Linked DNA regions of Schizosaccharomyces pombe. The protein of the gene in region 1 interacts with the protein of each later gene in a biochemical or structural test. Each region holds a gene or a part of one and is shown on either strand. Other genes may lie near its edges.

Region 1 (6,459 bases):
CAGGAGAAGTACAAACATTAGTAACACCAAAATCGCGTTTTGAAGTAGTTAATTCGGGAGTAGTAGCAGCAGGTAAAGGTCGGACGGTATGTACAGTTCGTAAATCCCATAACTTTAAGGCCGAGTTTGCAGAGCAGGACGATATAACTTGCGAAGTAGATTGAGGGAGCCACGTAGCTGAGGTAATTGAGCAATCCCTTCCCGAATTTTCATGTGCTTTTCTTATCCTTAACACTGGTTTCTGAAAATGCTCACCGTCAATTGTTATCCCGTGTGTTCGCATATCCCAAAAGATAATGGAACCATCCCGAGAACAACTTACCAAATTATAAGGAGAATCATTGCAAAAATTAACCTGCTTTACTGAATGAGAGTGGTATCCATCGACACCTCGTCGTCCCAATCGAGTGATGCATTGTTGCGTTGACAAATCAAATACCTTTGATGTTTGATCGCCAGATGAAGTAGCTAATAATGAATCATCTTTAGAGAAATTAACACTAAATATAGCATTGTTGTGAGCAAGCCAGCCATGGATTCTTCGAGCAGACGGCTGATTTTCCTCATTCTGTCTATCGTAAAATCGAGAATCAAACAGCTCAAGAGCTCCAGTCTCAGTACATACGGCCAATAAAGACTCGTTATTAGCAAATCCAAGACAGAACGGGAGTTGGTTCAGCATCATTAAGCATTCCGAAGGTCGTGAGTAATATGTTTCGAGATTGAGTCTACCTCCCACATGACGAGAAGTTTTTGTGCTAAAAGGGTGCGACCGGGAACCTCCCAGTTGTCTGATTAAAAGTTCTTTACAAAGTTGAGCAGGTTTTTTTTGAATATGAACTGGCTTGTGTAACAGGGGTTTCTTTTCAAACACAATGCGTTTTCGAGGTGTTTCAATTTTTCCTCGGCTTTCTAGGAAGTCGTAAAGCTTATGTTTTTTGGAAGGTGCTGCGGGAGAAGAATCAGGAGTCGGAGGTAATGAGTTATTTGCACGTGAGGTAATATCTCGAAGCCCACCAACATCACTCAAAGCTTTTCCAATGTCCATATTCATGGTATAATCATGAATCTTAATTTAATCCGCTTTTGAGGTCGTGTGTTCCAGTTTAATTTAAGTAGTGGATGGTAGCGTGAGTATATTAGATTTTCGTGACGCGTGAACGCGACGCGTCCGTGATCCATCACATGCACCAAACGTTACCCAGAATATGTTAAAGTAACAAAACGCGTATTTCAAAGTCATGTTTAAGCATATTTGCAATTACAGATGGGTACAGCCTAAAATTCTTGAGGAATAAATAAAAAGGATAAAAGTTTTCTAATTACTTGTTAATTTTTCATAAAGGATGACTTTCGTATTTCTGCCTATGATATAATGAGCGCTCGAAAAGTTGTCAAATATCTCATTTATTAATAATAATCGAAAATATTACGCGTCAAAAGAATCTTTCACTCACAATTCTATACTTGTATAGTCAAATTACAATCTCAACTCGCGGAGTGAATATAAGTTAGCTGTTCACCTTGCAGGACCCAAAAGAAAATAGTATATATTTGTTTCAATCAAGGTAAAGAAAATTTTAATGTAATAACTTCGTTAAGTATAAATTTCCTTTCGTATCCTTGGATTTTCAAACACATTTATCCTGTCTAACACTATTGAACAAGACAAGTTCGTGCTTTTATCAACTACAGGTTGTGAACAACCTCCATTGTACAACACCAATAGTGCATTCATTACACTCTTTCCAATATTTCTAATTACACCTCTTAATTTATTTATAAATTATTTCTTTTTTTCTTCAAATGAGTGAGTCTGTTACTACTGGATCTGATGATGATGGAGGAGACAGAGAATCTTCCCCTGTAATGCTTTCTCAAAGTTTTGATCCCATGAGCAGTAGTTCAAATTCATCTTCTGAAGAAAATAGCGATGATGATTACGAGAAAACGATAAGCTCAAAAAAACGGCATCCACGGCCAAATTCTAAAGGAGTAAATGTAAAACGCTCTAGGAGGAACGCTATAGTTGAAGAGGATCCTCAAGAAGAAATTTTTAACAACTTATTTGGTAATGATAAAGTCCTTCTTTTTTTCAGCTACTAACACTGAAAAGCTTTTCTGCTTGACCAAAAAGTTGATACCATGGACATCGCGGTTTCGTGGTTTGCTGACTATGCAAAAGATAATCAATCTGCCCTTGCAAATCTTATTAACTTTATTTTAAAGGTAGAGTCATTCTTTTCTTTCTTTACTAAATATTTTAGTGCTGTGGTTGCAATCGTGCCATTAATGTGTTTGATGTTCAGGATCAAGATTCTGCTTCAGCTACTCTATCTCAAATTCAACTTTCTGTAGAGCGTGTAAGTGCTTTTGCGAAAATACTTTATTTGTATATTAACAACTTTAAGACTTCTACTCGTGATTATCCTTTAAATTCAAAAAATCTTAAGTTTAGGAATTTCAGAAAGAGATTGACCGGTCTTTTAAGCAACTTTGTGTCACAGTTGTCAATAAGAAATTACTTGTACAATAGCACTGTTTTTGAAGATATTATGTCTTGGGTCGTTGCCATGTCTTCTTCTACGATGAGACCTATTCGGCACACCGCCACTGTTTTCTGTTTGAATATTATGACTTTTTTATGTGAAAAATCTAAAGAACTATTGAACGAGCATGCAATTGCTACCAAACAGCTCGAGAAAGAAGAAAAGCGCTCTCGTGTAAATAGAAATCGCATCAACGAACTTAATAACAGTCTTGGTGAAATAGTCAAGCAACAAGATACATTGACTACATACTTAAATGACTACTTTGATAGGTAAAGATCCCTCAAACGCTTTAATTTATTTATACTAACCTTTATATTAGTGTCTTCGTCCATCGATATCGAGACGTGGAGCCTAAAATAAGGGTAGATTGCTTACAAGAGCTTGGGGTCTGGATTAATACTGTTCCAAGCATATTTTTTTCAGGAAGTTATTTAAGATACCTAGGATGGATGCTTTCAGACATAAACACTACCGTCAGATTAACTGTAGTTAAAGTTTTGCGCAAATTTTTTGAGACAGATTCATTTATTGGTGGATTAAGACATTTTTCTTCTAGATTTAAAGAAAGAATACTCGAGATGAGTTGTGTGGACGCCGATATTGGAGTTCGTGTAGCCAGCATTCGTTTGTGTAACGCTATGAGGACTTGCGGATTTTTAGAAAATTCTGAAATTTTAAAAGTGCTGAAGCTAATTTTAGATATCAATCCAAGGGTGCAACGTGAAGCCGTACTGTTTTTATGCAAAGTGGTTGACGAAAGTGTGAATGAAAAAATTGATTTATGGGGTGAAGAAGACTATATTCTAAAGGCCTTTTCTCAGACTTCACTTACTACATTTTCAGTTCATTGGATAAAATTTTCCCAAATGTGTAAACTTTTGGAGGAGGTTAGATTGTCTTACCAATCGAGCTTTGATTATGATACATTATTACGAATCTTCCAAAAAAATGGTAATTTCATTACTCCTATAACACAAGCTTTACTTAATGCATGTGAAATTGATTCAATCTATCAGTCATGGGAGGATATTAGCAACTTCGTACTTTTTGATAATTATACCTCGACTCTAAAAGATCCGATAGACAGTATACTTTCTTTCTGCAAGCTAAATGATTTTCAGGAATCTATTCTTTTACAGCTTCTCTCTGCTTCAATCCAAACTGTCTGTAATAACAATTTTATCACACCTAAAACGGTGCATAATAAGCAAGCGGCGGAAACGACCAACGATCAAAATAAAGATAAGGACTTACTTTATTTGAATCTTCTTCCTTACATTAATTCAATAACTGAGAGAAATTCTGCTTCACCAACACTTCTTCATGATTCTCTTCGTTTGTTATTCTCAATGGATTTGACAGAAATGACAGACCCTCAACTTTCCAGACATTTTGAACTTCTAATTAATAATTTAAAAAAATTTTTCCTAACCAATAATGATCTTCAAATTATTCAAGGTTGCACGATATTATTTTTACGGTTGGACTCTATTCCTGCTTTGAAAGAAGATTTGAAGCTTCTGGTTACTGACATTTGCGACCAGACGGTAACCGAATTTTTAAAGAATTTTGGATCTTTTAATATTCAAGATGCTGTAATAACAAAAGATGAATTTGTTATTTTTGAAGCTTGTTTAACAAGAATCGAGGGATGTACCTCTCTCAAAGATTTTTCTGACTATCCTGAGTTTGACATAATATATGAAAGGCTTGTTTCGCTTCTTTCGCGGGTTCCTAATAGCTATGAAGATACATTGAAGTTTTCTGCAATTAATACTTTACAGAGTCTATTGTTTTGGTTCTTTCTAAGGAAGGATAACCCTGCTGATGAGGAAAAAAAGAAGGATGATGAGACTAAAGTTTTTAATTGTTTGATTAATATTATGAATAATGACAGCTCTAAAATTTTGCAACTTCAGGTATACAAAATCAACTTATTATTTGATTTAAGAAACTAACTTGACCAGGCAGCCCGAACTTTTCTGGAAACAGTGATAATGAAAGAAGGTGTTAAAGCATCACATTACAACGATGACAATCGTGTATCTGAGGAGCATAACTTTTTAAAACCTCAATTTTTAGATGCTCTTTTAAAAATACTTGAGGGATGGTTATACACATATGCCAAAGTTGGTCAATTCCCCTTCAAGCGTTTGACTCAAGCAAGTTCTCCACATACACAAATTTCTTTGGACAAAAATCCACTTAATAGAAGGCTATTGGAACATGTATGTTGCGATTTGACTAGTAAATTATTAATAGTTGTTTCATTGTCAAATACGATAACACCAGAATTTTCACAACAGTTTTGTGAACTAAGAGGGCACTATGGACCGAAATTATCTGCTATTGTGGATGAGTTTTTGAATTAATTAAATTTAGATTTAATGCCTGCTGTATATTTAAAGTAATTAATTATTTTTAAGTCAGCATTAGAAATAAATTCTTTTTTCATTATTAAAAAGATTATTTCCGCTTGGTTTTCATTAATTCTCTATATTTCTCTATAAGTTCCAAACGCTGCTTTCCTAGAGCTTGGCGTCGTGCCATAGATTCTGTTTGACCCATATTATTAACTTTGGGAACATTTTCCAAGTACTTTGTCTCTTTAATTTTTAATTCCGGAAGTTCAGGAGGAGCTTGCACAGTTTCTCCAAAGGAAGGTTTTGTTTGTAAATTAGCCCACGGATCAGGCGAATTTTTTCGTTTTTTTCTAGACTCAATTTGGATAAATTGTCTAATATGTTAGTTTATACGAAATGAAATTGGTGATATACACATACCCAGTAGTATCCGCCTCCCATGTTTTATCTTCAAAATTTTCCTCAATTTCATTCCAGTCTCTTTCACGCTTCTCTTTTCTTTTCGCTATTTTTTTCTTTTCTTTTTTATCAGTAAATTCGTCTATTTTGCTCGGCCCAGACTTAAAAGATACTGGAATAGCCTTATTTACGCGCTGACTAAATTCACTAAGGCGTTCACCGGGTAATCTTTGAATTTTCCCATAATCTTTTTTTTTCTTATTTTTAAGGTTGCCTTTCTTTATTTCCTTCTTTTTAGATTCATGGTACTCTTTTTGCTGTAGCAATCGCTTGAATTGCTTTGGGAAGTTGTCATCTACACTTTCATCCTCCTTGGGAGCATGATCGAGTCTATTAACCAAATGTTAGTAAAAACATCTTGCTATAGAAATTTTTTACCCAATCTTTTTCCGTTCAGCCTCAAGAACGGACCTTTTCTTAGTCTTAGTAGGCATATTGCGCTTGGATAGTAAACACAAACGAGAAGCAAGTAATAAAGGAAAATAGCGAGCCTAGCTCGTATCGCAATTTAGATAAATTTGGATTTGTTTTAATAGATACTCATGGGATAACAGTAAAGTTTATTAATGAATACAAATATCTTTTTTTATTTTAGTGGACAAGCTGTAACGCTTTAGAGAGAAAAAATTTCAGAATCAAGTTGGAAGCAAGCTTAGTGAAGATACTTTTCGAATCATACACGAAAAATATATTAAAAAATATATATATCAAACACCAAATATACACTATCTTTATTAAAATCGTAATGCTCTTATATGTAAACACTCAACTATCTTTCTTGTTGAGTATTTTGCGAGCTAATTAATAAAAATTAAAATGACTACAAACAGAGTACTTGAAATTATATAGAAAGCGAAACAGTACAAAATTACAATAACAAAATAAAAAATTCGATAACAATCTGCTTCCATAAGAATCAAATTTTATTCTCGATTAAAAGAAAACTGTTCCCAAAATCCAAAAGTTTAGATGAGCAATTTCTCTATTGCCAATTTAATAGCTTGAATTTGAGGAAGTAAATCACTAGCCTCATTGGTAGTAATGCTGGCTGAAATCACCGGTCTACTTACACCACAAGCACGTCC
Region 2 (6,585 bases), on another chromosome or scaffold:
TGTGCAACCAAACATATCCATCAACTCCCAAAGTCTTGCCAGAAAACTCCTCGACATGAGAGCTTTTCTGCATAGGCTTCAAAAGTCCCAAAAGACCTTTAATTCCCATGTTTAAAGCATTCGTCAAGCACCAAAAGAATGCAGGTGCGTTATCGAGATGTTGGTTCTGTAACAGTTTTAACGTAGTACCCTTGGAAGTGTGTTGTGTATCTGATCAACAAATATATTCTTGCAGTCGATAGGCCCAAAACGAACAAGTATAAAATTTACTTTATCATTAAGAAAGGATAAATATAAAAGGCTTTGTTATTGTTTATGTGTGAAATAATTTAAGGAGCCGGCTATCATTGTTTGAGTATGCTGGTGTACTTCTTTTCTAAACATCTATTCAATCGAAATCATTAAAATCATGATAATACTATAAGTAAGTTTTTTTCTTTAAAGTTCTTTGTTTGAAATCTATCGTGATTGTTAACTAAGACTACGGTGAATCAATCAACCATTACCAAATCATTGAATTTAGCTGTATGAGGAAAACTCAAGCGCAAAATTAATATTTTAAAGTTCTATAAGCTGCGGTTTTAAAAATGTAGTGCGGTTAGCATCTAGTTGGGTTTAAACATATTTTAAACTATTCGTCGCTAATAAAACGTTTATTCTTAAAAGTATTCTTGCTAGTTTGTGACTGCAAATACTGTTAAACTAAAAAGGAAAATGCAATAGTTAGTTTCCGGAGAAAGCCTTCTAGAATAGTAGAGACTTCTCAAAATTGTATGCAGCCAAATTCATTAGTTAACAAACAGTCAAGGGGTGAGCCGAATCGTCTAAGCGTAACTGCGTTACTGGAATTATATTGAAAACATTAACCTCACTTAAACCCAACTTCCTTGAAACTAGGGATTAAACATAAACGTAGCTGACAATTGTGACTTATAATTAATGTTTCTATCATTAGCCCAGTCAATTCAGAGACAAAATCAATTAAGGACATAAAGAAAAAGCGTTGTAAATTAAAAAAGTCCTTGATCAATTATAGAAGGAAACTTAAAACAATTAAAATTAAATTCGTTAGAAATAAATAAATTACGCAAATATATATTTGCCATCCCTATTAAACATAAAGTATTCTTAGAATATATTAACACAGACATTAAGCAGCATATCACAGGTTAATATTATCATTTACTCCACATAACCTTCCAACTGTTTTTCGTTAGTATTTTAAAATTAAGAAAAAGTAATCCCTTACGTTGATTGATAATGTTCGTGAAGAATTCTCCTGTTGATCTCTATAAATACCCACTAAAGCTTCTGATTTACTGAACAACTGATTTTTCAAGGAAATGACAACAAATTGAAAACCGCTGGATGCATGCTGTCTAATATAGTTGGCAATCTTGGTAACGTTGGTTTGATCCAAAGCTGCATCAATTTCATCCAATACAAAAAATGGGGATGGCTGATAAGAGTGGATAGCAAATAGCAGAGCCAAAGCAGCCATGGTCTTTTCTCCTCCAGAAAGTTGATCCATATCTCTAAATCTCTTCATAGGTGGCATTGCATGGAACTTGATTCCTCCAAGATATGGCTCATCGAGGTCATCCAAAGTCAAATACGCTGTTCCACCAAGAGGAAAAGCAGGACTTTTGGTAAGTTCCTTATATATTGGATCGATTTGTTCCGAGATATGCGAAAAGGCAGCTTGAAATTTTTGCAATCTCTTTTGCTTAACGGCATTGAAGCGTTCTTTTGCGTTTTTGGCTGCTTTACGAGCAGCAGCAAATTCTTCATCTAACTTCGCCAAGCGAGTTTCTACTGTTTCAAGTCTCTCAATAGCCCTTAAATTAGGAGACATCTGATCCAGCTCTTCCGAATACTCTCTCAATTTTTCTTGAAGAACAGAAGCCATACTCTCAGAACCGTCATTGCGTAACTCTTCATCCAGTTCATCGTAATCCACTTCTACTCCAAATTTCTCAAAATTTATTACTGGTTCAGACGGCTCTTCGCCCATGGTGATATCACCGCTGTTTGAGACATCATCTATAGGTATGCTCGTCAAAGATCCTTCGCGTAACGGAACATCTATATCTTCTAGTTTGCATTTTCGTAAAATTGCGTGCCATTCAGATACATAGCGGTCAATCTCCGATTCTAAAAGAGTAATGTTTCCTGATAACTTTGTTAACTCAGACACTAATCGTTTGCCCACTAGCTTTTTCTCGGATGCAGCTAATAAAATTTTTTCAGTTTTAGAGTTCTCACTTGCAAAATCCTCCTTTAATAATTCAAGCTCAGCCTCGGCAGTTGCAACTTCTGATTCAAGTGCTTCCCGATTTTGCTCGTAATTATCAATAGATTCCTGATCTTTTTCAATGAATTTATGCATACGCTCTAATCGTAACCTGGTATCTGAAACACGTTGTTTTTCAAAACTAATACGATTTTCAAGTAATGATTTTTGCTTGGTGAATTCGAGTTGTTTTTGTGTAAAACTTTGAGTAAAAGTGCGATGTATCTCATCGTAAGTATGTATATCACTTATCCCAATTCGTTTGCAAAACCCGGAGAATATCTTTTCCTCAACCTTTTCTACTTGAATTTGAAGCTCATCTCTACTTTTAACAAAGTTGCGAAGTTCCATTTCCAATTCTGACAAGTGAGGCTGTTTTTCTTTGATTAAAGATTCGTAATGTCCAATTTCCTTTTTTTTGTCTTCCACGGATCTAGAAACTACTGTATATTTGTCTTTGAGTAGAGATATCTCAGATTCAAGACTATGCAACTTGACAGTATCACTTTCTGTAATCACACAAGATGACTTTTGATATTCTATTTCACCAATTTGATGCATAAGTCTATCTTTTGTTTGAGTAAGCAGATCAAAATCATGGTCATCCCAGTGTTTCGCCGACCGGTTGTTTGAAGATCCACCAGTAATCAACCCTGTTTTATGTATAACCGTTCCCTCTAAAGTAACTGTCTTGGCATTGAGACGTTTGTTATAGGAAAGGTCTCGAGCAACAGTCATTGAATCACAAATGAGTGTATTTCCAACTGCACTAATCATTACACGTTCATATTCAGACTCAAAATTCAAAACGTCAATTGCAAGTCGGGCGCCTTTGTGTGTTCCACGAAATTTTTGATTAACGGGACTGGCTGCTATGGTGTCCATTGGAAAAAAGGTCATAATACCTATGCGTTGCTCTTTTATATAGTCAATACACTCTTTAGCAACTGCCTGCGTTTCGACGACAATTGCGTCAAAATTTTTGCCTAAAGCAGCAGCGATTGCGCTTTCATATTTCTTTTGAGTAGGAGTACATAAGTCAATGATTCTTCCTTTGACTTCAGGATATATCCTTTTCAAAGCATACAATGCTTCTCTTTTTTTAGCATCCTGTTTGGATTCATTGCGGTCGGCACTTGCCTCTAAAATTTTCTGTAAACAAGATTGAAGCTCTTCATTTAATTCTTGTGTTTTATGAAAAAGCTCAGAATAAGTCAACCTCTTCTTCTGCTGATCATGCTTTTCAAGTTCCAAACTTTCAATCTTTTCATTTATTTTAGCAAGCAAATCCGCTCGCTCGGTATCAAGAGAAGAAACACTTTCATGAAGGCTTTTAATCTTCGACTCTAAGTCTCCAACGATGCTCGTTAATGAATCCTTTGATTGAGAAGTAACTTTAATATTCCTATTTAACGTCTGCAATTTGAACAATAGATTTGAGTTTAATTTGTCCGCCTCACTTCGAAGTCCTTCATACTCCTCTTTATCCTCTGGTAACAATCGCAACCCTTTGAGTTGCTCTTTTTCCTGCATGTCTTTTAAAAACTCTTTTTCAGCAGCTGAGAGTGAAGTCAATTGATTTTCTAATACTTGTAACGTACTAGCTTGGTCAGAATAATCTTTTTCTATTTCCGCAGCTTTTCTTTGAATTTTTCGGAGATTTGACTTAGACTCTAGGGCTTTCTCGGCAATTGAAATGAGCTCTGGACGTTTCGAAGCAATCAACTTTTCTTGTTTTCGAACTTTTCTATCGAATGCAAGAAGGTTTCTTCGTATACTGCCCTCTTTTTCTTTCAACTTTTCTATCTCTTTAGTGTTCTCATCTCGCCTTTCGATAAGTTGAATGGAATCTGCCTTTAATCGAGTAACCTCTGCCATATTAGAACTAATACTTTTCTCTAGATGAAAGAGTTTCCATAAAAGGTAAACTAACTGCGCAGAGTCTCGTTTTTCTTTTTGACTTTGATAACGCTCGGCTTCAGTTTTCTGTTCTTGATATTGGCGTAACTCAGCGTTGATACCACGTTTCTTGTTAAACGAATGAGCAGATAAATTTACAGCCTTGTCCTGCTCGTCTTTAGATTTATCGTACTCAGATTTATATTCCAGAGAGCCACTTATTTGTTCAACAAGCTTTGAAAGTTCTAAAGGAGATTGCGAAGCAATGGTTTCAACATCACCTTGAAAAACTAAGAAATTTCGAGCTCGAACAAGAATATTCTCCTTTTGGAGAGATCCGCAGTATTCAGAAAACGTAACTATTTCTTCATCAATTTTGTATTCAGTAGCACCAGAAGGAGTGATTGCGCGTTTATACTCTCTTTGCTCCCCATTATCCAACTCATACATAAGTTTCACATATGCTGTAGTAGGATTACTAGAATCAGTGAAATCTGTATTATCTCTTTGCAGTATTTTCCCCCGATAGATCAGTTCTTTAACATTAGTTGATCGTAAATGAGAAGACTTGACCCCTAAAACAAAAGAAATGGCATCCATTAAATTCGATTTTCCGGCTCCATTAGGACCGATAATCGAGGTAAAGTCCTCAAAAGGACCTATAATTTGATGTCCTCGATAAGACTTAAAGTTTTCAACTTCCAGTCTTAGTAAACGTCCCATTAGGAAAACTTGGTAAAAGGAATGTACAAGGTGTGTATGAAACTCGCGTACGCGTCTTTACTTGATTAGATATTGTTACCTACTCATTACGATTACATCTCATAAAGTTTCAGAAATCCACGATATAATATATAGTGCAACTTGATATTCACTGTAACAAGAACCTCGTTATTATGATATTATCCTTCCAGCGAATTACTATTCTAAGCTGCATAGCCCCTGCCTATATATGTACGATGCATCGTTATTGAAAGAAGTTTGCTGCATATAAATAGGAAGAAAATTGATGATAACAACATCCGTTTGTTTCATTATTAATGAATTTGTGGTACTCCAATCACCAGTTAAAAAATATGGCAAATAATTTCAAAGAAAATTCTCGTCAACTGATATTAACTCAATCATAATATAGATGAGCCATAAAATATTAACATTAATATCGTAATGCAATGTAGCAGTAATATTATATAATCGTAGTCAGGTAAAATATATAACAAATCACCATATTAACCCATTCGCAAAAAACTTTGATGTTTAAGCTACTCAGATCAATCAGTACATATCTTGTTAGAACTAAGGAATTAAATTATTCAATTATATAAGCGTTAAGATGGATGAATAATAGATTGGTGAGACAGATTTGGGATAGTGATGTATATAATAGAATATTAACATATAATTTACGAACTCTCCTTTATCCTCTTTATTCGATCAGAGCGTCCGTTAAAACAACTTACGCACGGTTTTTAGCCTCCCTTAGGCTTGTTATTGATATTCGCAGCATTGTCTATGAATAGTGAAAGTGTTGATTCAGATGTCGCGGCCTCTACTAGTAATAAGGGAAATGAGTTATGTAGCTCTTCCACTGACATTACGTCTTTATCAGTGAGTTCCCCGAATGAATCGGTTATTCATTCCAGTCACTCTGCAAGTGAAGCTGATGAGTACGTTTGCAAATTAAGTTATGAGGGTAATAGAAAGAAAAGAATTTATAATGGCTCTGCTGAAGCGGGTAAAGAAAAGAAGCTTCAAAAACAGCGGGCCCAAGAGGAAAGGATTCGACAAAAAGAAGCAGAGCGTTTAAAACGTGAAAAGGAACGTCAACAACGAGAGCAAGAGAAAAAGCTAAGAGAACAGGAAAAAATCGCCGCTAAGAAAATGAAAGAATTAGAGAAATTAGAGAAGGAGCGGATTCGATTGCAGGAACAACAAAGGCGGAAGGAGGAGAGGGATCAAAAGCTTCGTGAGAAAGAAGAAGCACAGCGCCTTCGTCAAGAACAAATCCTTAATAAGGAAAGACAACAATTGAAGTTAAACAACTTTTTCACCAAAGGAGTTGAGAAACGAATCGCGCCAAACGAAAATTTTGTAGCTGACAAAACGGATGAACTGAATGAGTTTGAGAAAGAGTTTCGCCCTTTTTTTATAAAGCATCAGATGTCCCTTTCCAAATATCCATCTCCGAACGAATCTGATTCTTTTTTGGATGAAGTCCTCTCAACCTCTAAATCTTATCCTTTAAAGCTAAACGACATTTTTACACCATCAGATGCTGTAAGCTCCGCAAACAGTTTAGGTGTTAGTAATAGAAATTCCGAAAACGAGGTTCGACAATTAATGAGCGCATATCAAGATCCATCTGTTTCAAAACCTCAAGAAATTTTATCTTG

The links.
Region 2: the proteins of psc3 (region 1) and psm1 form a complex in vitro, tested with the Schizosaccharomyces pombe proteins (one study listed by BioGRID).

What each region holds. Positions count from the first base shown.
Region 1 is NC_003424.3:2,034,597-2,041,055, forward strand, and holds psc3 (mitotic cohesin complex non-SMC subunit Psc3), read left to right. Parts: upstream 1-1,698; 5' UTR 1,699-1,806; coding exon 1,807-2,071; intron 2,072-2,116; coding exon 2,117-2,229; intron 2,230-2,267; coding exon 2,268-2,363; intron 2,364-2,411; coding exon 2,412-2,821; intron 2,822-2,871; coding exon 2,872-4,471; intron 4,472-4,519; coding exon 4,520-4,924; 3' UTR 4,925-5,018; coding exon of another isoform or gene 5,019-5,289; 3' UTR 5,290-5,335; coding exon of another isoform or gene 5,336-5,704; 3' UTR 5,705-5,752; coding exon of another isoform or gene 5,753-5,808; 3' UTR 5,809-5,948; downstream 5,949-6,459. Other genes in the region: WD repeat protein Cdt2, read right to left, coding at 1-1,054; SPOM_SPAC607.02C (uncharacterized protein), read right to left, coding at 5,019-5,289, 5,336-5,704, 5,753-5,808; U3 snoRNP-associated protein Snu13, read right to left, coding at 6,340-6,459.
Region 2 is NC_003423.3:2,539,073-2,545,657, reverse strand, and holds psm1 (mitotic/meiotic cohesin complex ATPase subunit Psm1/Smc1), read right to left. Parts: upstream 4,943-6,585; 5' UTR 4,916-4,942; coding exon 1,250-4,915; exon of another isoform or gene 1,204-1,249; coding exon 1,183-1,203; 3' UTR 501-1,182; downstream 1-500. Other genes in the region: exonuclease I Exo1, read right to left, coding at 1-109; histone H3-H4 chaperone, CAF assembly factor (CAF-1) complex subunit A Pcf1, read left to right, coding at 5,705-6,585. UniProt on the Schizosaccharomyces pombe protein: Involved in chromosome cohesion during cell cycle and in DNA repair. Central component of cohesin complex. The cohesin complex is required for the cohesion of sister chromatids after DNA replication.